3 linked regions of the Sus scrofa genome follow. The protein of the gene in region 3 binds, or shares a complex with, the protein of the main gene of each other region. Links are inferred from orthologs where the notes say so. Each region holds a gene or a part of one and is shown on either strand. Other genes may lie near its edges. The genes, in order: RIPK1, RIPK3 and MEFV.

The links.
Region 1: MEFV (region 3) and RIPK1 share a complex: the UniProt entries of both Homo sapiens proteins name them as parts of the AIM2 PANoptosome complex. The link is inferred for Sus scrofa from reciprocal best matches to the Homo sapiens genes MEFV and RIPK1.
Region 2: MEFV (region 3) and RIPK3 share a complex: the UniProt entries of both Homo sapiens proteins name them as parts of the AIM2 PANoptosome complex. The link is inferred for Sus scrofa from reciprocal best matches to the Homo sapiens genes MEFV and RIPK3.

The regions. Positions count from the first base shown.
Region 1 is NC_010449.5:1,838,360-1,846,349, reverse strand, and holds the start of RIPK1 (receptor-interacting serine/threonine-protein kinase 1), read right to left. Parts: upstream 5,208-7,990; 5' UTR 3,804-5,207; intron 3,291-3,803; 5' UTR 3,171-3,290; intron 1-3,170. UniProt on the Homo sapiens protein: Serine-threonine kinase which is a key regulator of TNF-mediated apoptosis, necroptosis and inflammatory pathways.
Region 2 is NC_010449.5:74,948,460-74,956,449, reverse strand, and holds RIPK3 (receptor-interacting serine/threonine-protein kinase 3), read right to left. Parts: upstream 5,306-7,990; 5' UTR 5,112-5,305; coding exon 5,092-5,111; intron 4,809-5,091; coding exon 4,668-4,808; intron 4,514-4,667; coding exon 4,204-4,513; intron 3,748-4,203; coding exon 3,602-3,747; intron 3,479-3,601; coding exon 3,432-3,478; intron 3,216-3,431; coding exon 3,048-3,215; intron 2,937-3,047; coding exon 2,851-2,936; intron 2,624-2,850; coding exon 2,261-2,623; intron 2,128-2,260; coding exon 2,067-2,127; intron 1,534-2,066; coding exon 1,394-1,533; 3' UTR 1,195-1,393; downstream 1-1,194. UniProt on the Homo sapiens protein: Serine/threonine-protein kinase that activates necroptosis and apoptosis, two parallel forms of cell death. Necroptosis, a programmed cell death process in response to death-inducing TNF-alpha family members, is triggered by RIPK3 following activation by ZBP1.
Region 3 is NC_010445.4:38,931,866-38,939,728, reverse strand, and holds the start of MEFV (pyrin), read right to left. Parts: upstream 5,109-7,863; 5' UTR 5,042-5,108; coding exon 4,765-5,041; intron 2,694-4,764; coding exon 1,854-2,693; intron 1-1,853. UniProt on the Homo sapiens protein: Involved in the regulation of innate immunity and the inflammatory response in response to IFNG/IFN-gamma.

The sequences.
Region 1 (7,990 bases), on a different chromosome or scaffold from region 3:
ACCTTCCACATCCTCTACAAAGGCTCCGGTGGCCCTGCCATCCCAACAAAGCTCACGTATCAGCACAATTAGGTGACACCCTGAGTCATTTTCCCGTAACATGAGACATTTCGAAACAAGAGGAAGCACCCTCTGGAAAGACACGTGTCTGTGGGGCGGAGACAGGGTTTGGGGGAGGTGCCCAGATAAGGACAGGGAGACAGAGGGGACAGGAGAGGCAGACACCGAAGGTGAGGGCGCCTAAGCCATAAGGACAGTGGCTCTTCTCCTGTATGAACTCAGGCTTTTTAACTTAGCAGCCCTGTGTCTTAGGTAACTGACATAAGCCTCAACTTCCTCATTTGCAAAAGGAAATAACAGTGCCTCTCTCAAAGATTGTAAAGATCGTGTGAGAAAAAAATACATGAAAATACACTCACTGCCTGCTTCGCGGCTCTGGCCCCGGTTGGCCCAGCCACACCTGTCCACGCGCATCCCCTCCCTGGCCCTGCGGCCGCCAGTGCGCAGCCGGGGTCCCTCTTCTCAAGCAGCTCTCTGCTGACCCGTCTTGGGGGGCGGGGGGACAGAGTTTTTGATCGTTCCCCCCATAAGCCCTGCGGGGACACTTCCCTCTCCGGGCCAGAAGCTGCTCCTCCTTCTGGCCTCAGAAATGCCATTTCCTCCTGCGCAGGGTTCCTTCAATTAAGCTCACAGAAAACAGGAAACTGTGTGAGGCCGTCTACAGCGCCCGGCACAGAAACTGACACATGGCAGCTGGTCACCAAATGAGCTCGTGTCTTAAAAAAAAAGAACTACTGGCAGTTCCCGTCGTGGCGCAGTGGTTAACGAATCCGACTAGGAACCATGAGGTTGAGGGTTCGATCCCTGGCCTTGCCCAGTGGGTTGGGGATCCAGTGTTGCCTTGAGCTGTGGTGTGGATCGCAGACACGGCTCAGATCCCGAGTTGCTGTGGCTGTGGTGTAGGCCGGTGGCTAAAGCTCTGATTCAACCCCTAGCCTGGGAACTTCCATGTGCCATGGGAGCAGATCAAGAAAAGGCAAAAAGACCAAAAAAAGAACTAGAATTGTTCAAAGATAAAGACTAGAGTTAAGCGGATTCAAGCATATTCACAAGCTGTACCACTATACAGCCAGTGCATGACAGGGTGGATGGGTGGGCAGACCGACAGACACAGGCCCAGGAGAAAAGATACAGAGAAAGACCCTGACGGGTGAGCAGGAATTTTATTTGGATGGTTGGGTGATTCTTTCTTCTCTACACTTTTACTACATTTTCCAAGTTTTCTACAATAAACATGAATTATCTTCGTAATGAATTTTTTGGCCTCACCCACGTCATATGGGCGTTCCTGGGCCAGGGATCAAACCTGCCCCACAGCAGCTACCTAAGCCGCTGCAGGAACAACACTGGATCCTATACACCACAGGAGAACTCCGACAGATCTGTTTTAAAGGAAATAATTCCTTCACTGTGCAGTTCTTTATTCTAAGGAATCAGGTGCTGGCATAGATTATGCACAAAGATGCTCCCGGTAACACTACGAAGAACAGCAAAAGAACAGAAAACAACTGACGTGCGCAGAATAAGGGAGAGTAAGTTATACGGCCAATTCGCACCATGAAATACATCCAGCAGTTTTCAAAAATGGTGGTAGGGTATGCATGTTTAGTAATATTACAAAAGGCTCACAGACCGAGTAAAGAAACAGAAAGGAATTACACCCATGCCTTGAAAGAGGCCCAGCGGGGTGTCAGGATTCAGGAGGATGAGGTTCCAGCTGCTCTCTCTCCTTCAGCCCAGATCTTGGCTCCTCAGAGCCACCAAGACCAGCGGGGACTTGTAGCACCCCCTGCAGGCAGGATGCGCTCGGTGGGGGCGGCTCCCGACCTGGGCTGGTTCTCCTCGGGCTGCGGTTTGCTGGTTGAGGCTGGTCTGACCTAACTTCTGCTCCTTTGCATGCTGTCCAATGATTTCTTGAGATTGTACTGTTGCCCCCGCCCCCCGTTTCCTCTTGAATGATTCAACTTTATAAACACTGAATAATTTAGGAAGGATTGTGTGTGAGTGATTTAGAAACCCAAGAGTCACAAAAACACAATGCAGGCAGAAAACCAGACGATAAAGCCCGTTACAGAGGGGTCAATAAAAGCCAGCCGGCCAGTTGTCAACTTGCGATTAACTAATTTCCACAAGAACGTGAATATATCTCATTTAATGGGGTTTCTTAAGATTTCTGCATAAGTATATTTTTGTTTGTTTGTTTTTTAGGGCCGCACCCACAGCATACAGAGGTTCCCAGGCTAGGGGTCCAATCCGAGCTGTAGCCACCAGCCTACACCACAGCTACACCACCACCAGATGGGAGCCGCCTCTGCGACCTACACCACAGCTCATGGCAACGCCGGATCCTTAACCCACTTGAGCGAGGCCAGGGATCAAACCCTCAACCTCATGGTTTCTAGGTGGTTTCTGCAGCACTGGTGACGGGAACTCCTGCATAAGTGTATTTAATTCAGGGACTCAGGAAAGCAATCTTTTCCACTGAAGTTAACTGAAACTTCACTAATGACCTTCAAAGGCACGACAGGTCTAGGTATCAAAATATTTATAGCTATATTCCATTTTGTTTCTCACTATACCTCAGTAAAGCTGGGGGGACATGTGAATTGTTAATAATAAATAATAACACCAAAACGCCAACAAAACTGATCTATGACCCTAACAGTCGGGAGAGTGGCTCCCGGGGGGCGGGGGCGGGGGGGACCAGGAGGCTCTAACTGACACGAGGTTCGAGGGATTGCGGGCAGCAGTGTCTTACTTGGTCAGGTTCCCTCTGCGATGCGCAAGAGAGCAGTTAGGCCCTGTGCACTTTTCTATGTAAACATTTTAAAAAGCGACTCCAAATACTCATAGTCACCTTTAAGTGGGAAGGAGTATTTTCTCCATTTTACAATGATGACCGTAGGTAATGAGTCTGACGGAAAATGCTGCCCATCGCTGCCCTCCTTTCCCTGCTGACAGTACTCTGATTTGACTCAAGTGTCCAAGGGTTCTTTGCTTATAACCCCTTGAGGCTTTGCCCCAGATAAACAAGAGCTCCGAGCAAGGAACATCCCAATGATAAGTAAGACAGAATGACAGGAAGCGTTCCAGCCAGCCTCCCCAGGTACCTTAGGACACTGCGGCCTAACGGTAAAGGCAGTAACTCCTGGAGTTGAATGATGCCTCTAACACGGCAGAGTCTTTCCTCTCTCCACTCAAACTTCCGCTAACACATACATGCTTCTTCTCTAGGGAGCAAACCATAACCTTTGTTAAAATCACGTGCAAGAACCTCATCTCACAAACTTGCTCACCCCTGAGAAACACACACATCAAAGTGTGTGGTTCCAGATCAGCTTTCTGCAGGTTATAACACGATCATTTTTGCCGGAGAATAACATCCAACCAGAGCGTGGGAAGCTTTGTGTTTTTTCAAATTCCCCGATCACACTGGCCGTATCAACAGTGTCGCGGATTAATAAGCCCCAATCGGAAATTGGCGATTTCCGAACTCGATGTTTAGGGACTTTTTCTTCACTCTCCCGGATGTCCCCAATCCTCCAAGTACAACGTGCCGCAGAGGAAAATGGAGACAAGTTAAAAGCGTTACTGCTGCCTCGTCAGTGATAACTAATGACGCTGCCGCTGTACCCCATCATTTTATTTTGAACGAACTCAGTCTTCACCTTTACTGTCTGGAAGAGCTGCCCTTCCCCGCACGTATAACTGACCACGACTGTCTCCCTTTCTTTTGCACCTACCTGATGGTTACAAAATGCAGATCAAGCACGAAGTCACTCTACAGGGCCAAGTTCACTCCTGCCTTGATTTCTCCGAGTGTAAAACTTGGGGTAAGAACAGTGGTCTAAAGACCGAAGAACTTCGGCAAAGTTGGTTGAGTGCAAAGGCTTCAGGCTTTGTCCAAGATACACAAGAGCTCTGAGCAAGGAGCTGCCAAACGATCAGCAACAGGCCGAGACAACCAACCACCACGCCTCCGGCGGGGTTTTGTCCACGGCTCAGGGAAGAAGAACTTAGCTCGCCCTCTTCAAAAACTCCGACGAGGTCGTGGAGCGCTTGGTAAGAGCAAACGCCACTGGCCACGGACGAGGCCTCCTGGGGTTACGACATCCTGCCCCTTCGTCGCTGTGGACCCTTCTCTCCCACTTGCCGGCTCCCGGCCGAGGCTACGCGGAAACGCCCCCGTCCCGCGAGCCGCGGCGGCCCCAGGCCCCAGGCGAAGGTCCTTCCGAAGGGCGGTAAGGAGGCCGGGCTCAATGACACCGCCGTGAAACCCCACCTCCCCCACCAGCTCGACAGCGGGAACGGCGTCGGTTGGTTCCAACATCACAGGGGAGGCAGGGCTCCGCCCTCGGACCGCCAGACCGAAACCACCCGCCAGCGGGGAGCCGCCGCGCTGCGGCCAGGTAACCGGCCCGCGCCCGACTTCCGGGAACGCCTGGGCCACGCCCACCCCGCGCGGACCGCCGGCCGACTTCCGGGAAGGCCTGGGCCACGCCCACCGCCAGACCCCGGGAGCGCCGCGGGCCGCGCCCAGCACCCGTCGCCGGACCCGCGTCCCTGGTCCGACCCGCGGAGAACCCCGCCGCCCGGAACGAGGTCGCGGGCCACGCCCACAGCCTGACTTCCGGGAACGCCGACGGCCACGCTCACCACCTGACCGGCCCGCCGCCCCGTCCGTCCGGAACGCGGTCGCCCGCCCGCCGCCCGCGCGCCGGAAGCGGGAGCCCCGCCCTGGGCGGAAGCCGTTCGGGGAACCTGACCGCGGTCCGGGTTCCCAGCGCAGACCCACCGAAGGATTCGCTTTCGCTTCCGCGGGCAGCTTCCCGAGGCCGAGGCGGGGGCCGGGGCCGGGTGGAGGACGAGGCGGCGGGGGCAGTCCAGGATTGCCCCGACGCCCGGCAGCGTCGCCGGCGCGGAGCCTGACGAGGGTCGCCGCGGGCTGAGCCGTCGGCTGCGACACCGGCGGGGCGGCCCCGCGCTCCCCGCCCCCGGCTGCGCGAGCCCGCCGTCCGCCGCCTGCTGCCCCGTGGGTCGGCGCGCTCCGGCCCTCGCGGAGTGGGCCCGCCGGGACCGGCGCTCCAGAAAGCCGATCCGGTGTCCCCGTCGCCTGCGCGCCGACTGAGTGAGCTCGGCCGGAGGAGGGCGTGGACTGCTCGCTCCGCCTTCTGCCCCTGCCCCTGCCCCGGAGGAGGGCGAGCCGAGCGCCCGCCCCGCCGCCGGCCGGGCCTCCTGGACAGCTTTCGGAACCTGGAGTGCGCCCAGCCAGATGTCGCGGCTTTGCTGCGTTTCAGAGCGAGTCCGGAGGCCCGGAGAGGAAGTGCGCGGAGTCTTAGAAACCACTCTTAGAAACCTCCCAGGTGGGGCATGCAGCCCCAGGGGAGTTCTCAGCTCCGCGGGTCAGCGGCGCTGGAACTATAGGCAATTATCATGCTCTCATCTCCCTCACCTGTACAGCGAGGATAATAAAATCTACTCTGGATTTTAGAGTAGAAGAGCAAGGTATTTATTTTGCAGTCTTTTGCAATGATAATTGGGAAGTCTCAAGCAAAATGGGAAATACTTGCTCTAGTGTTACGTTAAAAAGCTTATACACAGCGTGATAACATACTGTAAAACGGTACATACATCAAGAGAATGAGATGCCACAAACTAAGAAAAAGCACATATATTAAAACAGTATTACCCAAAATGAAGTAAAAACCTAAGAAAAGGAACATCGCAGTAAGAAAATGGGCAAAAGATCTGAACAGTCACTTTACCATATAGATGGCATGTGAAAAGATGGTCAATATTAGAAGTCACTAGGAAATTATGAATTTCTTCTTATTCATTTATTTATTTTGGCTGCACTCAAGCAGCATGTGGAAGTTCCTGGGCCTGGGATAGACCCCATGTCATTAAAGCAACCTGAGCCACTGCAGTCACAATGCTGGGCTCTTAACCTGCTGTGCCACGAGAGAACTCCAGAAACTGTGATTTTAAACAGCAATGAGATACCAGTACATCCTATTGACTTAAAATAGACTGCCAACTATTTCTCAAAAAAAAGGTTTATTCATGATCCACAAAGGATTGCATTTCAGGGTCTGCAACTGTAGGAAGCTGTGTGCAAAGCCCCAGCAAAAATGGAGAGGAGGACACTTTTATGGGGACAGAGGAAGTTAGGAGGGCTATAGTTTAAAAAAAAAAAAAGATGCAAATCAAAACTACCATGAGATATCACCTCACACCAGTCAGAATGGCCATCATTAATAAATCCACAAATACCAAGTGCTGGAGGGGCTGTGGAGAAAAGGGAACCCTCCTGCACTGTTGGTGGGAATGTAAACTGGTACAGCCACTATGGAGAACAGTTTGGAGATACCTTAGAAATCTATACATAGAACTTCCATATGACCCTGCAATCCCACTCTTGGGCATCTATCCGGACAAAGCTCTACTTAAAAGAGACACATGCACTTGCATGTTCATTGCGGCACTATTCACAAGAGCCAGGACATGGAAACAACCTAAATGTCCATTGACAGATGATTGGATTCGGAAGAGGTGGTATACATACACAATGGAATACTACTCAGCCATAAAAAAGAATGACATAATGCCATTTGCAGCAACATGGATGGAACTAGAGAATGTCATCCTGAGTGAAATGAGCCAGAAAGACAAAGACAAATACCATATGCTATCACTTATAACTGGAATCTAACATCCAGCACAAATGAACATCTCCTCAGAAAAGAAAATCATGGACTTGGAGAAAAGACTTGTGGCTGCCTGATGGGAGGGGGAGGGAGTGGGAGGGATAGGGAGCTTGGGCTTATCAGACACAATTTAGAATAGATTTACAAGGAGATCCTGCTGAATAGCATTGAGAACTTTGTCTAGATACTCATGTTGCAACAGAACAAAGGGTGGGGAAAAAAATGTAATTGTAGTGTATACATGTAAGGATAACTTGATCCCCTTGCTGTACAGTGGGGAAAAAAAAAAAAAAGTCTGTAGCTTTTCACTGGTTGAGTTGCCTGGAGAGAAGAGGTGTTTTTTCTTCCTCTTGGCCTCTCTGCTGCTGTTGCAGGTATGAGAACTCCCCCTTCTGGCCTCCTCTATTTAAGGTTTTTGTTCTTTGTTCATTTGATTTTTACATTTCCCCCTTTGATCAAGATCTTTCTCTGAAAGCATCTCCATTCAAGCATGAGATTTTTTTGGTGTCAGTGGCTTTTCTGTACCCCAGTGTCAGGAAAGCCCTTTCCTATCTCCCATCAGTGGGAAAGGACACAGATTGCAAACATGCAGAGGTTACACTGGAGTAAGAAGGAGGAGTATGAGAGCTGTCAGGCACTTTTCACCCAAAGTTCATATGTTACCAAGATCAGAGACGCTGGAGATCATCTGAAGTGCTGTGTTGTCAAAGCTTTGGCAACAAACTCCCAACACGCCTGGTCCAGTTATCTTGGGAAAGCTGACTCATCAGATGCCATCTGCTTCAATTCTGGGAAATCTTTACCTTTAGGTCGCCAGATGCTGTACAGGTCCAGTCAGGCTTTGGCTCTTAAATGTAATTGTGTCATGTGAGTCCAAGAGTCAGTTCTTTGGAGTGTGGTGGCACAAGGGTTGGTTAGCAGTACCTGATAGGGCCTTTCCAATAAGGTTGAAGAGTTTGGAGGTGTCTTACTCCCACAGATAAAATCTACTGGTTGCAGGTGTGAGGCTTAAGGTCTTCATTTCCCTGGAGACACTGGAAAGACTACAAAATCATGGTTATTTTTGGTTGAAGTAATTAGATCTTTATGATAGTGGAACAATGCATAGCACTCCTGGGTCAAAAGAGGCAGGCGCCAAGCATAACGTGTGTCCTATGACTATCTCAGACCGTGAGAGTTTATGAATATAAGAAGTGGATCGAAGATTCAGAAGGACCAACGGC
Region 2 (7,990 bases), on a different chromosome or scaffold from region 3:
CCTTCACCCCTCCTCCCTCAAACCCAGACCGCAGAGGTGCCCTAGCAAAAGCCTCAGCACCAGGGGCAGGGGAGTTGGGGTGGAAGCAAAGGAGCCCCAGGTTCCCTCTTTCCCTCAACTCACTGCCCACGATGCTGCCGCAGCTGAACGGACTAACCCCAGGGCAGGTTCTGGAGTCACGCCTGTCTCTGGGCTGGTAGCTCTGAGCCCTGGGCCACAGGCGCTTCCCTCCCGGCGCCTCAGCCCCCTCCCACTTCCCTGATGGGACAGCCCGGCCCTTCCTGTGCCCTAGCCAGACTCCACAGGCCTCCTCCCCCAGTCTGATTGTCTCTCCCAGCACCAGGGCCTCCTCCCATCAACCCCTTCAAGGAATGAGAATGCAGACCATGGGGGTGCTGGGCCAGTATCAAAATGGACTCAGAACCTTGGATGTGGGGAGACTGAGGGAGGGCTGGAAGGAAGACTGGCAAAAATGCAGGGAAGAAGCACATGGTGCTGTATGGGAGCTAAAGTCTAGGTCAAGATGAGAGGGCTGCTCATTCCCTGCCCCTCCAGACTGGGTGGCAGTGCTGTGGCCCCATCTGACCGGTCCATGCTCCAGTGATGTCCAACTCCAAGGGAGGGGTGTGTGTGTAGCTTTGTGGAGCCATTGCTCTCCACTCCTAGACACCAGCAGGGAATCAAAGGGTTCTGAGGCCTCCGTGTTACAGCAATGTGTGCGTGGGTGTACCTGGGGGAGGGAGTGGTAATATGGAGGCTGACCTGTGAGAGACTAGGGGCATCGTGCAGGGCAAAGATGTGCTGGGGACTGCGAGTTCCCATGGAGAACCCCCTCCCCAGGACCCCACTGCCAAGCCTCCATAGCCCACAAGAAAAGGTGGGTGGCTGGGCCACAGCCTCTACATCCAGGGTTTGGTTTGGGGTGGGGTCTTGACCTGCCCTACAGGAAATGCTTTGCCCTGAGATTAGAGCAGCCCCAGGAGATAGGCCTCCAGGATTCCTTCCTGCCACCGGCTGGGCCTTGACCTTGTGTGCCACAACATTGCCCATTCCCAGCATCCTGCTTCCGGTTGGTTGTGGTCCGTGGTTGTGGTTGAAGGGCAGTACCTCCCACTCCCTCGATGTCAGCTCCCCGGTCTCTCATCCATGTCCCTTTCCCTCCCCTGGCTGAAGCTTTAGCCTCCTGTACAGTGCTTGGGCTAAAATTCCACCAAGTTTATTGAGTCCTGGGGGAACAAAGACAGTTCGGGTACAGGCCTAATGACCCTCAGAGAATGCTGGGTTTTCCAGAAGGCAGTTCAGAAGCTGCTTTGATACTGCTATCATGATACCAGCCCTGTGGCCCACTCCAGGCTTCCGTTTCTTGCAGTCCTTCTTTCTAGTTGTTTGAAAGCTACTTGTGCTGGGGGCCCTTCTTCATGCCCCAAGGTACCGGGCCCCGCGTGGATGAGGCAGTTCTTCCTTTTATAACCATGTAGTTGCTGTTTCCAATCTGCACCCCTTGGTTGTAAAGTAACTGAGAAGACCATGGCCCTTTAAGAGAAACAGTGATGCTCGAGGGAGGGTTAAAGGGTACAGATCTGAGAGTCTAAGCGAGGAGGAGCGGCAGGGTGGGGGGCAGCGGCACCTTGTGTTCACCCTGGGGAAATGCAAGTAGGCAGTCTCTGGGCCTGCCCACGACTGTGTCAAGGAGTGCCTTGGGTCTTCCCTTTCGGGTTTCAGAATTGGGTTTGCAGAAGCTCAAGAGGAGTGGCAACGAACATCTGAGACGCTGACATTTGGGTCTTTTCTGCTGGGTGGCCCTCTGGGCCTACATAGCAGCAATGGAATTTAGAGGTTCACAGAGCTGGAAAGTCAGAAGGCTCAGGGGCAAATCCAGGCTTTGCTGTGTGACCTAAGTGGGACCCAATCCCAGTTTCTTCATTTATAAGATGAGAAAGTTGGGGTAGGTGACCTCTAGCCCTTTCTCATCCCCCTCCCCAAGTACCCTGGATCTATATTTGATCTTGAGGAAGAAGCTGGTGGAAGAATTGAGCAGAGGAAAGGAGGGAATGGGGAATGGGTACCTGATATTGGATTTGGCCCTGGTGCCATGGGAGACCAGTTGGTGCCACGTCTTTCAGGCCCCTACAGACAACACAGTGCCATCAGGCTCCCTGTCCCTGGGCCTGTTCCCCTACTGCAGCCCCAAGTTTTCCCTGGCAAGGGGACAGGATTCACAGGAGTCCTAGTGCATCCTTGAGTCCTGCCAAGGTCTCACCTGATTCTCTTGGGGTCCAGGGCCTGGGGGCCAAGCTGAGGTGTGGCTGGGCTTCTGGCTCATGAAAGGTAAGGTCTCTGGGGTTTGAGGAGGTTGGGCTGTTGAATCTGAAGGTATCTCTGCTGTCCAGGTAGGCTGAACCTGCTCTTTCTGGGCCCTGATCCTCTCAGGAGGGTTTGTACATTTTTCAGGAACAGAGCTGGGGTACTCCTCCAGGTTCAGGCTGTTCATCATTTCAGAGACCACAGAATCATGGCTTCCTGTGCTCCCCCTAAGGCCATCCATTTCTGGACTTTCCAGGCCTGGCTCACGGACAGACAACAAGCTGCTGCTGCTCTTGTGCTCAGACAAGAACTCCTTCACCTGTAAGGATGGAGAGCTGGTTGGGCATGGAGGTGGGAGAGCCAGGGTTAACCCAAGGGAGGAGCCTCTTGGCCCATGTCCATTGCCTGGGAACTCAGGGATGGGTTGGGGGGAGTGGGCATGAGAGTCAAGGCTTAGAGAACAACAGTCAGCGGGGAGTCATTGGGTGGCCAAGGAAGCCATGCTGTGCCTTCCCTGCCCAGCTCCTAGGGGTGCTAGACACTCACTGTGGAGACCGCGGCATTCATCTTCTTACAAGTTACATCTTGTTTCATTACCAGATCGAGGGCTCCCTGGGTGTTGGGTCGGCAGTCTGGAGAGAAGGCAGAATGGGTGGTGGGTGAGCATAGCTTCATTATCAGGGAAGAGCCCCCTGCGGACAGACCCAGGCCTACCTCAGCTGCCAACTAAATGGCCAGCGCACCTTGGAAGGAGGGCCTATTCCGGGGGTCATGGCTCCAGCAGCGCTGCATTAAATCCTTCAGTCCTTCCAAACCAGGATTCTCAGGGCCAGACTGGGGCAGTTCATCCAATGGGGGTCGGACGTGCCTTTCACACACTGCTTCCCGCACCAGTGATATCTGGGTCGCCACTGGGGAGGGGGTGGGGGACGTGGAGAGAAGGCATTCAGAGAGTGAGGGCCACCTGCCCATCATGGAAAGGGGCAGGGAGTACAGTCCAAGGAGAGGTGAGGAGGGAGTAGGGCAGTGTGAGCAGGTCAATAGGAAGAGGAGAGCTTGGGGGGGTGGGGGCTTGGAGGAGGGGGACACCTGAGATTCGGGATCCCAGAGTCTGCCTGGAGTCTTACCCTCAGCTTCTCTTCCGGCTAGCACCGCCCACATCAGGATCCCAAAGCTGCAGGAGACAAAAGCTGAGGCCTGACCCAACTGCTGGCAAGACTCCCTTCCATATATTGTCCCTCAGAAGGACCCAGAGAGGTGTAGAAATTGGGATGTGTATGTGGAGTGGGTACCTTACCTGTAGACATCACTGGCCATGGAGGCCTTTCGGTTTATATCAGCCAGCAGTTCTGGGGCCAAGTAGGCTGGGGTGCAACCTGATTCCCCAGATTCTGCCCTTGACTGTGAACCTCCCTGAAATGTGGACAGGCCAAAGTCTGCTAGCTGCAAAGGGAGATAAGAAGGAAGAGATACGGATGGATAGGGCCAGGCAGCCTCCAGAACTTTCTTCCCACTACCCCATAGAATGTTTAGGTCCAGCCCTGGAAAGGGGGTGTGGAGGGTTAGAGAAGTGGTAGGACAAGTGGGGCCCTTGGTTGGAGGTCTGGGTCCTCTCTCCATGGGGCTGGGTCAAGATTTGAGCCTCCTAAGCTAGGTTAGCCATGGGTGTTTGGAGGTCCTAGTGGGTTCTAACACAGTGGAACTGACCATGTTGGTCAAGGCCTCTATCACCTGGTATGGCAGCAGCTAAAGCTCCTGGATGGCAGCCCTATATCCAGAGGGAGTTGCTGAGGGTATCCTGGGCTGCAGCAGATAGGTCTCATGTCCAGTGAGTGGAGCTGGAGCAGCTCTGGAGCAGGATTTTGTCCAGAGGTTGGGCTGGGGCGGGGATGCGCTGACCTTGGCATGGAGCTCTGAGTCTAGCAGGACGTTGGAGGGTTTGAGGTCCCGATGGAGGAGCACAGGGTCCTGGCTGTGCAGGTAGCACATCCCGAGCACCAACTCCTGGAGCAGGCGGCAGAGAAGCGGCCAGGGACGAGGGCACTGGGGCTGTAGCAGCTCCGCCAGGGAACCATTCTCCATGAACTGAGTCACCAGAGCCGGCCCAGATACATAGTCCCACTCCAGCTTCTCTGTGATCCCCAGCAGGAGCAGCACATAGCTGTTATGCAGACCTGCCATGGCCTTCACCTCCCTGGATATCGCCTGCCTGCAATCAGAAGAGAGTTGGAGTCTGCTTCTGAGAAGTTGCTCAGCTTCTGGGTAGACCCTTCCCTTTCCCACCCTGGCCCTGAGTTACAGCGGCCTGCCTTCTCCACCAAACACCTGGCTGGCACCAGCTGCCAGCAGCTTGGGTCACTCACGAGTTAACGATCTTGACCGCCACGTCTAAACCCCAAGTCTTGTGCTGCGCCCGGAAGACCGTGCCAAATCCTCCTTTGCCGATGAACTTCGGGTTCTCCAAGTCCTCGATGGGCACCAGGGGCGCTGAAGCACCAACGTGCCTGTGAGAGGAGGCCTGGTCATCAGCTGGCCATGACCCCCAAGTCAGCACTGCTGTTCCCCATGCCACCCCATCCCCGTGACCCCCATGACTGCATATGGTCAGTTCAATCCCCAGCCTCCCCCGTGAAACCCACTATGCCCCGGGGCCTTGGCACATGGGTGGGTGGCATCCCCTGAGTGAGCCCGCGGGGTGCCTATTGTGTGTGTGTGTGTGTGTGTGTGTGTGTGTGTGTGTGTGTGGTGGGGGGGTGGCTCCAGATCCATATCTCACTCTTTACTCACCATAACTTAACGCCGGACATCAAGTTGGTAGGTGCAGAGGGTTCTGGAAGTTGAGAGCCCACACGGAAAGGGGGGCGGCGCTGGGAGAGGAATCAATCTCCAAGCCCCGTCACAGACTCCGCTTCCCGGAATCCGCTTCCCGGCTCCCCAGGTTGTTCTCTCTACTCAGCCAGACCGACTTCCTCTTTGACGGAGGCCTCTGCAGTCCTGCCCTTGGGGGCGGGGGGGGGGGGGGGGGACGGACGGGGGCGGGGAGACCGGGACGGGGATGCGGGCGGGGTGCAGAAAGGAAGCAAGTGGTTTTCAGAACGTGCTGCTTCCGGGTTAGTTGCCCCTTTTTAGATCGCCACAGAAGGCGTCCTCACTTTCCAGGAACATATAATCAACAGCCTCCTACAAATGGTGTCGTTTCCTTCTTCCGCAGGATTCCTAGCTCAACCACCAAGCCTGCTGGTGCTGAGGATTCAGTGCTGAGGAGCATGTTAGGGGCCTAGGACTCAGCTCTCCTACAGCTGCCCTAAGGTCAGAGCTAACACATTTCTAAAGCGCACCACACGCCATGTACATATATTAGCTATTTAATTCGCATGTCAACTCTAAGGGGATAAGTACTTATTTATTTATTTATTTATTTTCCACTGTACAGCGTGGGGTACAAGTTAACATACATGTATACATACTTTTCCCTCCCATTGTTGTGTTGTGATGTATCTAGATATAGTTCTCAATGCTACACAGCAGGATCTCATTGTAAATCCATTCCAAGAGCAATAGTTTGCATAGATTAACCCCAAGCTCTTGATCCCTCCTCCTCCTCCCATCCCTCCCCCTGGCAGCCACAAGTCTATTCTCCAATTCTATGATTTTCTTTTCTGTGGAAAGATTCATTTGTGCTGTATATTAGATTCCAGTTATAAGTGATATCATGTGGTATTTGTCTTTCTCTTTCTGACTTATTTCACTCAGTATGAGAGTCTCTAGTTCCATCCATGTTGCTGCAAATGGCATTATGTTGTTCTTTTTTATGGCTGAGTAGTATTCCATTGTGTATATATACCACATCTTCCTAATCCAATTGTCTGTCAGTGGACATTTGGGTTGTTTCCATGTCTTGGCTATTGTGAATAGTGCTATAATGAACATATGGGTGCCTGTGCCTTTTTTAAGGAAAGTTTTGTCCAGATATATGCCCAAGAGTGGGACTGCTGGGTCATATGGAAGTTCTATGTATAGATTTCTAAGGTACCTCCATACTGTTCTCCGTAGTGGCTGTACCAGCTTAATTTCTCACCAGCAGTGCAGGAGGGTTCTCTGAACCATCAAACTTTGCTATATTCATATAAGCTTCAGCTGGTCGTGAAGGTGTCTGAGGAAGGTATGAAGCATCCAGCAGTGTAGTGGGAGTCCCTGTATGTATTCCTGCCACTGGTGGTGATTTGTCTGCTGGCAAGACCAAGACCCACTCCTAGGGCATTGTGGTCAGCGAGAGGAATTGACCCAGCAAAAAGAATTGCTGACTTGGTGGTGTACACTGCAGTGGAACACCTCAGAGCCTGCCTGCCCTCTCCTCCTGCAGCAATTCCTCAGGGAAAATTCTCTGGTTAATAAATATTCCTGACAAGCATGTGCTCTGGACAAGGGCCTTGGAGAACTCAGGAGCTTGGGGGAACCTTAAGGATTTAGAGTAGATAAAAGGTGTCCATAGATTACCTGCCCAAAGCCTGACAATAGCTGGAGGTTGTAGAGCTAGATATGGCTAGTCTTGGGCTTTCATTCCTTTACAGGAGACCCAACCCTGTGGGTCATGGGCCAGCTCTCACAGGACGGTGCTCACCTTGGTATGAACTTTCCATTCTGTCCAGTGGTTCATGGGCTCTGTTAGTTGGAGCAAAAGTGGCCAGCGTTTAACTGAGGTTTCTAGAGCAACTGGAACTCCGGGATCTACATCATGAATTCTAGTGACGTCAGTCCATGCTATTTGCAAACTATTTAGGATTTTTTTTTTTTTCTTTTTAGGGCTGCACTTGCAGCATATGGAAGTTTCCAGGCTAGGGGTCCATTCTGAGCTGCAGGTGCAGGTAGGTGTACAGGCTGAGGTGCTGTTCATACACCTTCAAGCCATAAAGGTGTTATTGTGTTTATCTGCCTGCCTTGGGCATAGCTACAATCTTCCAGGCCTCCACTTGCTCCTTAGCTTGGACCTCAGGGCCCCGTAAATTTTGAACTCTCTTGGCATTTTTTTTTTTTTTTTTGGTCGTCTTTTCTAGGGCTGCACTGGTGGCATGTGGAGGTTTCCAGGCTAGGAGTCTAATCGGAGCTGTAGCCACCAGCCTTTGCCAGAGCCACAGCAAGGCTGGGTCCATAACCCACTGAGCGAGGCCAGGGATCGAACCTGCAACCTCATGGTTCCTAGTCAGATTCGTTAACCACTGAGCCACGATGGGAACTCCCATCAACGGGTTTAAATCTTTAAGGATTTCAGAGTTTGGGACAATCAGATGAAGACTCTAAAGAAGTTATTGCGAAATGTTTAAAGAAATAAAAGATGGAATAGAAAAAAAATTAGCATGAAATAAGAGATTATAAAAATGTCCAACTAGACTTAGGGAAAAAACAGAATATCAAGAAATAAAAAAAATTATATGTGCCCATCCGTTAAAATTAAAACTGCAATGCAGAAGATATAGCTGAAGAAAGTGTACTAAAAGATGGATCTGAAAAAAAAAATTCATCAGGAGCTTCCATTGTGGTGCAGCAGAAACAAATCTGATTAGAAACCATGAGGTTGTGGGTTCGATCCCTGGCCTCTCTCAGTGGGTTAAGGATCCGGCATTGCCATGAGCTGCAGGGTAGGTTGCAGAAGCAGCTTGGATCCTGTGTTGCTGTGGCTGTGGTATAG
Region 3 (7,863 bases):
GCACCACAGCAGGAACTCCTCATATCACATCTTTAAGTGACCTCTTGAGGTCCCCAATTACCATTTCCCCTCCTCCCTTTAAATAGAATTGATCGCTGTCCCTGTGGCTGCTTCCCCAACAAACCCCCCCCTCGGAAAAAAAAAAAAAAAACCCTCCTTTTCTTGGCCTCCCTTGCAGTTAGGTATGGTCGCTTGGATACAGGCCCACCTCACTTCATTGCATTTCACCTCGTTGCCCTTCACAGAGGCTTCATTTTTACAGAATGAAGATTTGTGGTAACTCTGTGTGGTCAATGATGGTGAATGTTTTTTAGCAGTAAATTATTTTTATTTATCTAGCTATCAATTTATTTATATTTTTTGGCCGCACCTGGGACATGTGGAAGTTCCTGGGCCAGGGATCAAACCTGGTCCACATCAGTGACCCGAACTGCTGCAGTGACAATGCCAGATCCTTAACCCACTGAGCTACTAGGGAACTCCTATTTATTTATTTTTAGAGCGAAAGAGATTTATACACAAAGATACTTCAGAGACAGAATGTGGGCTGTCTCAGAAGGTGGGGAGTGTTGAGCAATAAAGTGTTTTAAAATTAATGGAGTTCCCGTCGTGGCTCAGTGGTTAACGAATCTGACTAGGAACCATGAGGTTGTGGGTTCGATCCCTGGCCTTGCTCAGTGGGTTAAGGATCTGGCGTTGCTGTGGCTCTGGCGTAGGCTGGCGGCTACAGCTCCGATTAGACCCCTAGCCTGGGAACCTCCATATGCTTCAGGAGCGGCCCTAGAAAAGACAAAAAGATAAAAAAATAAATAAAAAATAAGATATGTACATTGTTTTTCAGATGTAAGACTATTGCACACCTCATATAGGCTACAGTGTAGTGTAAACAATATACTCTGGGAAGCCAGCAAATCCATGTGACTTGCTTTATTGCAATATCTGCTTTAGTGCAGTGGCCTGGAGCCAAACCCACGATATTTCCAAGGTGTGCCTGTTCATTCTGGCCAAGAGGACGTGAATAAGTAGAGGCACCATGAGCAGTGTCTGCAAACTGGAGAAAACCTTCCCTGAGTGATCGTCTTCTCCCTTGTGCCTCCATCCCGCTGCCCAGAATGCGGACGCTGCTCTTGGAGACCATGAACTTGAGAGCAAACTCTGTGGAGCAGAAAAAGGGCAGGAGCTTGGGTTCCTGGCCACAGGGTACCACATTTATCCTGGACCACCTATGTGTCATTTACATGGAGGGGGGACAAACTTCAGACTTGTTTCACTTACATTATTTTGGCACTTCTGTCAACCCATCATAACCCTAATTTCTGCCTCTTGAGTAAAAGAGACCCAAGGAGTTTAGCCAACAGCTCCCTCCTTGCCCGGAGAGGCCAATGGCAAGATCTCAGCCCCACGACATACTACCGTGGGGTATTGTGAGAGGGTGATCTTTCCACCCAGTCTTTTCCAGATGCTCAACCTGGAGTCCACGAAGCCCTTGGGAAGTCTTAAGAAGGACATCAGTGTATCTAAGAACTAACTAACGGAAAGGATCTGGTGGTGTCCCTGCTGTGGTGTGGGTTTGATGCCTGGCCCAGGAACATCCGCTTGCTACAGGCACAGCCCAAAACAGAGAACTAACCGAAATGGAGGCAGCATCTCCTGAAGATGTGCATGTGCACTTTTTTTTTTTTTCAGGATTCAGAGCCTACATCAAATTCTCAAAGGGCTGAGGACCTCAAGGGGCACCCAGGGGTCCAGTGGAATAAACACAATGGGGATAAACAGAGGTTTATAGGGGAAACCCGCACAGGTCATTATGCCCAAGGATGCTGAGTCTCCTGGATTCTGAGGTCCTTTCTTACCTGAAGACAGAGGGCCTTTCGGATTTGAAGGTACATGGAGCACACCGCCTGCCACCTCCTCCACAGTCCTGGAGCTCTCTGGAGCCTCAGTTCCTTTCTTCTCTGGAGGTGCTGTGGATTCTGGGCGCTCCCACGTCTTCTTCTTTGCAGCCAACGATATGTTGGACAGTGTATTCCTGAGTGCACCCCCCTGCAGGGTCATGGAATGTTCCAGATTCCTGGAGCCTTTCTCTGGAGCCACAGGAGCACACACATTCAGAGTGGCCATCTCACTGGGGGTGGCTGCTGAGCCTGGATTCTCACTTCCCATTTTCTCTTGAAGCAGAAGTGTTTCTGGATGAAGGGATTCTATCTCTCCGGGAGAAATGGTCAGTTCAAGACTTTTGGGTCGCTTCTTTCCTGTGGGTAAATAGGCTTCAGAGATCTTAAATTCTCTCCTTCCCAGGGACCCAGCCAGCGAGCCCCCGGCCAGGCCCTGGAGCCTTCCTGCAGAGCTGGCATTTCTGCGGAGGCTGACACCGGGCTTGCTCCCCTTCTCCCCCTGGGGCTTGCTAGGGAGTGGGCTTCTCTTGGAAGACGTGGTCATGTTCCGGGCCCCTGGCTTGCTCTGTGCATCTAGGCCCTCAGGGCCTTTCTGATCTCTCCGTTTGACCTGGGGCTTCTTCTGGGGCCCCTTGCCAGCCTCAGGCTGCATGGATGGTGGGCAGCCAGCCCCGTCACTGCTCTGTCGCTGCTTGTCACCTTCCAGGCCATCCAGTATCTTCAGGCTTTTGGGCTTAATCTCCCTAGAGGAGCATGACGTTGCTGAACTGTCTGTGTCATTTTCTTGTATCTGATATTCTGAAAAGACAGATAAAAAGGCATGAAGAGTCTCGGGGTCAAGGTGTGGGGAAGGGGAGAGAAGAGACAATTCCCCCTGAAATGAGGGACGTTCAGGACATTCTAGACGTCGGCAGTCAGTTACTATTACATAAAAACATACTAATTATTTGCTGTCTTCTGAAATAGTGCTTTTCAAACTTTTTTTTTTTTCTGTCTTTTTGCTATTTCTTGGGCCGCTCCCGCGGCATATGGAGGTTCCCAGGCTAGGGGTCCAATCGGAGCTGTAGCCACTGGCCTACGCCAGAGCCACAGCAACGTGGGATCCGAGCCGCGTCTGCAACCTACACCACAGTTCACGGCAACGCCAGATCCTTAACCCACTGAGCAAGAGCAGAGATTGAACCCGCAACCTCATGGTTCCTAGTCGGATTCGTTAACCACTGCGCCACGACGGGAACTCCCTTTTCAAACTTTTGTAGGCGGGAAACCTAGGTCTTGCTAAGAATTCTTAACGCGTAAGTGAAAACATTTGTTTATTGGTATGCATTCGTGTGTGGTTTATCGACGTACAAAACCCACTTACAAAATCCATCAGTAAAGATTGGCACACAAATTTGAAATCAGGGGTTATGAAGGACAGTTAAAACTTCAGAAGCTAATTTGTTTCTGGGTTTTTTTCCCCTTTGGTATCATGAGGCAAAGAAAACCTTAACTCGGACAAGCGTCATAGTAATTTTTGTTAAATACAGCTTGCATAGAAATTTCAGAATACTGTTTAATTAAACAGACACAACGAGAAAGGCTGAATTCCAGGGTCTCCATAAAAAGTTCAAGTGTAGCACGAACTTTCACACTGATGGCCTCCAGTATTTAAAATTTGGTTAATATACATTTTAATATGAATTTGTTTCATAAGTTAAAACAACAACATCTGAATTAGGTATTTGGTAACAGTCTAAATAACCTGTGAAATATCTTCCCGGGATACGGTTTTCAAACTACTTTAATAAGGAAATGAAAATAACCTGTAATTAGCACCTTAATTTTTGGTTTGAAAAATACTTAGAATTTAAAGTTGCTTAAACATTTTGCTGTTGGGTGTCTAGGAAAACATGTTACCCAGACGGGATCCAGAACTGGTAAGAAACCATGAAAATGCTAATAACCAGATTTTAAAATACAAAAAATTAACTTAAAAATTCTACTCATCAGGTTACACCAGACTCAGATTACGCTTTAGTTTTATCACTCTTTCAAAGAGCAGAGAATTTCTATGTTATGTAAAGTCTTCTGCCTCATAGAAGCACATATAAAGTATTCCTGATGTATTCTTAAAAGTCTAGAAATGTAAGAAAAATTCAAATATGAAAGAATAATTTTTTAAACTAATCATGTCTTAGCACCCCCATCTCCAAAAAAAAAAAGTCTTTAAAAACAGGAACCACTTGGCCACATTCTTTGATTACAATGTCATAAAATCAGAAAGTTGCAGCAAAACAGTAGCAGAAGGAAGATAAGGATGGAAAAAAGGAAAGAAAGAAAAGATGCAGGAAATGAAGGAAGAAAGGAAGAGAGAGAGAAGGAAAGAGGCAAAAGAGGAAAGGAAGCAAGGAAAAAGAAAGAAGAGAGTCCTTTTGAGAATTTTAAAATACCTTTGTAACATGCGTTAAAGAAGAACTGAGAGCAGAAATTCAGGGGGTACCACTGAGATTACCCATCAACCCTGCTGTTCATCCATCAACCCTGTGATCATCCAAACAAAGCTGTTCCTCTCCGGGTGAGTGCTAATCACAAATGAAGCGAGGCGCCTCTACCAACGGGCAGCCACTCCTGCCTCTCCTGATCCCACTCCAGAGTCAGAACCTCAGCCTTCTGGGTTTTGTTTTGTTTTGTTTTGTTTGTTAAGCCATTGGGAGCCTTACCTTTCCTCCAAAAACCAGAGAGGGGTAAGCACTTCCTTGGCTCAAGTCACCAGGGTTGTGGCAGACCTTGGACTCAAGACGCCCTGGTCCAAACATCAGTTCCCTCTTGCGCCTTCCACCCCACCCCGCCAGCAGCCAGCAAGTTGCGGGGGCATGGGGCCACTTACCTGGGCTGATTGCCCTGTGGAGCTCCTCTGCCAGGAGATGCTGGTTGATGGCCCTCAGGACCTGTAGGGTCAGTTGCACAGCATAGTCCTCCCCATAGTGGGTGACCAGTAGCATGGCCAGCTTCACTGGCTGGGCTGTTTGGAGTTGGCCCCGGGGGATCCGGGAGTGTTCCTTCTCCAGGCTGGTGTTCTGTAGCTTGAACTTGAACTTCTCAAAGTCATAGGGCACCAGCTCTTCCAGGGAGTAGAGCAGATGGTCACTGGGGGTCTTGGCCATAGCGTGGCCCAGGAGAGCCTGGAGGCAGCTGTCTGTCTTCTGAGCTCTCTGCCCTGGAGCCCCGAGGGTGAGTGAGAAGAGGTAGCTTGTGAAATAACGGAAAAGGCACAGGAAATGCTCTCCGTTTTGGTGGGAACTGAGACTAAGGCCATGAGCATGTCATGGCTGGCTTGGGTTCTCTTACAGATGCAGAGGCTTTTCCAGCTGGGAGAGCTCCACGCCCCGTCAGACAGGTGGCCGGCACCTGAGCTCTCACTGGCTGAGATGGATTGCAGAGCGGTGGGTAAGTCTTGGAGGGTCTGGAATTGGAGTCCAGGTTTTTTTTTTTTTTTTTTCTTTCCTTTTTATGCCTAGACCCTTGGCATATGGAATTTCCTGGGCTAAGGGTTGAGTCAGAGCTGCAGCTGCGGGCCTGCACCTCAGTCGCAGTAACCCTGGTTCCAGGCCACATCTGTGACCTACACCGCAGCTTGCCGCAGTGCCAGATCCTGAACCCACTGAGTGAAGCCAGGGATCGAATCCATATCCTCAGGGCCACTCTTTGGGGTTCTTAACCGGCTGGGCCACCACAGGAACTCCTGGATTCCAGGTTCTTGATCTTGGGAGAGGTATGGTGATGCTTCCCTGGCTTCTCCCAGGATACAGGGGTACAGTGGGGGGAACAGAGCCCCTGGTCCCATGCTGGAGAGGAGCATGATGAAAGTCAGCTTCTCCGGCCAGCTGTTCCCCTGCAGACTCTTGGGACTTTGTGGAGCGGGGAATGGGGAGCCGCAGGTACAACCCAAGGAGGCAGGTGAGGCTGGAAGGGCACCGCCCAGAAACCAGCCCTGTTATCTCCCCCTTGAATGTTGTTCTGGTTGTCTGGTTCTTCCAGCAACACGAATGCCTCAAAATGCCACAGGCCTGGGCCCACCATCCTGATTTGTTTGTCCCAGCGCTACCTCTGCCGCAGCTTCCTAGCCCCAGGCCTCGGAGGGGGCGCTCTTGTCCCTGCACATCTACTGAGCATGTGTCTGGGACCCTGGGCCAGGATGCCAGAGAAACAGGGCTGAAAAACCGCACAGGCATCCGGCAGAGCTCGCAGCCCAGTGTGGGGCCCCAGCGGTGGCTCCGAAGCTAAGTGTTGTGTGTGGGGTGGGGGCTGACTTCTTCCTTGGTTGACTGCTCCGTCTTTCTGCACTGATTTTTACCCCGACATTTTGTTTCCAAAAATGTCAGGATTTCCCAGTTGTGGCTTGGCAGAAATGAACCCGAATAGTATCCATGAGGATGAAGGTTTGATCCCTGGCCTCACTCAGTGAGTTAAGGATCCAGTGTTGCCATGAGCTGTGGTGTAGGTCGCAGATGTGGCTCGGATTCTGTGTTGCTGTGGCTGCGGCATAGACTGGCGGCTGCAGCTCCGATTCAACCCCTAGCCTGGGAATCTCCATAGGCCAAGGGTGCAGCCCTAAAAGGACAAGAAAAAAAAAAATTTCAAATCCACAGAAAAGTTGAAAGCATAGTACAGTGAACCCTTATATACCCTTTATCCTAGGATCACCAGCTGTTTACATTTTATAATGTTTGGTGATTCTCTGTCTCTCTCTCTCTCTCTCACACACACACACACACACACACACACACACACACACACATGCTTTCACTTCTCTTTTTTTTCTGAAGCATTTGGTAATAAATTTAAAACATATCAGATATCACTCCAGGAGTTCCCATTATGGCGCAGTGGAAATGAGTCCGACTAGGAACCATGAGGTTGTGGTTTCAATCCCTGGCCTCGCTCAGTGGGTTAAGGACCCGATGTTGTTGTGAGCTGTGGTGTAGGTTGCAGATGCGGCTTGGATCTGGCGTTGCTGTGGCTGTGCTGTAGGCCAGCAGCTATGGCTCCAATTGGACCCCTAGCCTGGGAACCTCCATATGCCTAAAGAGCAGAAGGAAAAAAAAAAGATATCACCCAAATACCCTAGATACCCTAAATACTAAGAATAAGTATGCCTGGATATCAATTTTTAAATTTTCTTTTATTTTGGGGGGTTGCATCTGTGATGCACAGAAGTACCCAAGCCAGGGATCATAACCATGCCACAGCAGCGACCGGAACCACAGCAGTGACACTGGATCCTTAACCTGCTGAGGCACCAGGGAACTCCCAGATATTATTTTAAATAATCACAACACTATTAATACACTGAGGAACTTTAATGTTTTTGTAATACTACAACCTGTCCATAATCGAATTGCTCAATTGTTCTGATAATGTCTCTGATGGCTTTTTTTTCCAAACAAGGATCCAATCAGATGGCACACATTGCTTTTAGTTGTCATGTCTCTGTAAGTCTCCTTTTATCTAGAACACTTTCACATCCCCCTGGCCTTTAAAATTAATTAATTTTTTAGGGTCGCACCTAAAGAATTTTTTAAAATTTTTTTTAGTTAAAAAAATTTTTTTTTGTCTTCCTAGGGCCGCTCCTGTGGCATATGGAGGTTTCCAGGCTAGAGGTCGCATCAGAGCTGTAGCCACTGGCCTACGCCGCAGCCACAGCCACAGCCACGTGGGATCTGAGCCGTGTCTGCCACCTACACCACAGCTCATAGCAACATCTGATCCTTCACCCACTGAGCGAGGCCAGGAATCGAACCTATGTCCTCATGGATACTAGTCAGATTCATTTCTGGTGAGCCATGATGGGAACTCCTGAATTTTTAAAAATTTTTTCGTTCTTTTAAAATTCTTTCAAGACATTAATGGTTTTGAAAAGTCTGCTAAATGTCCTTCAGTGCACATTTGTGTGATTCTTCCTTCCTTATTAGACTGAGGGCACATC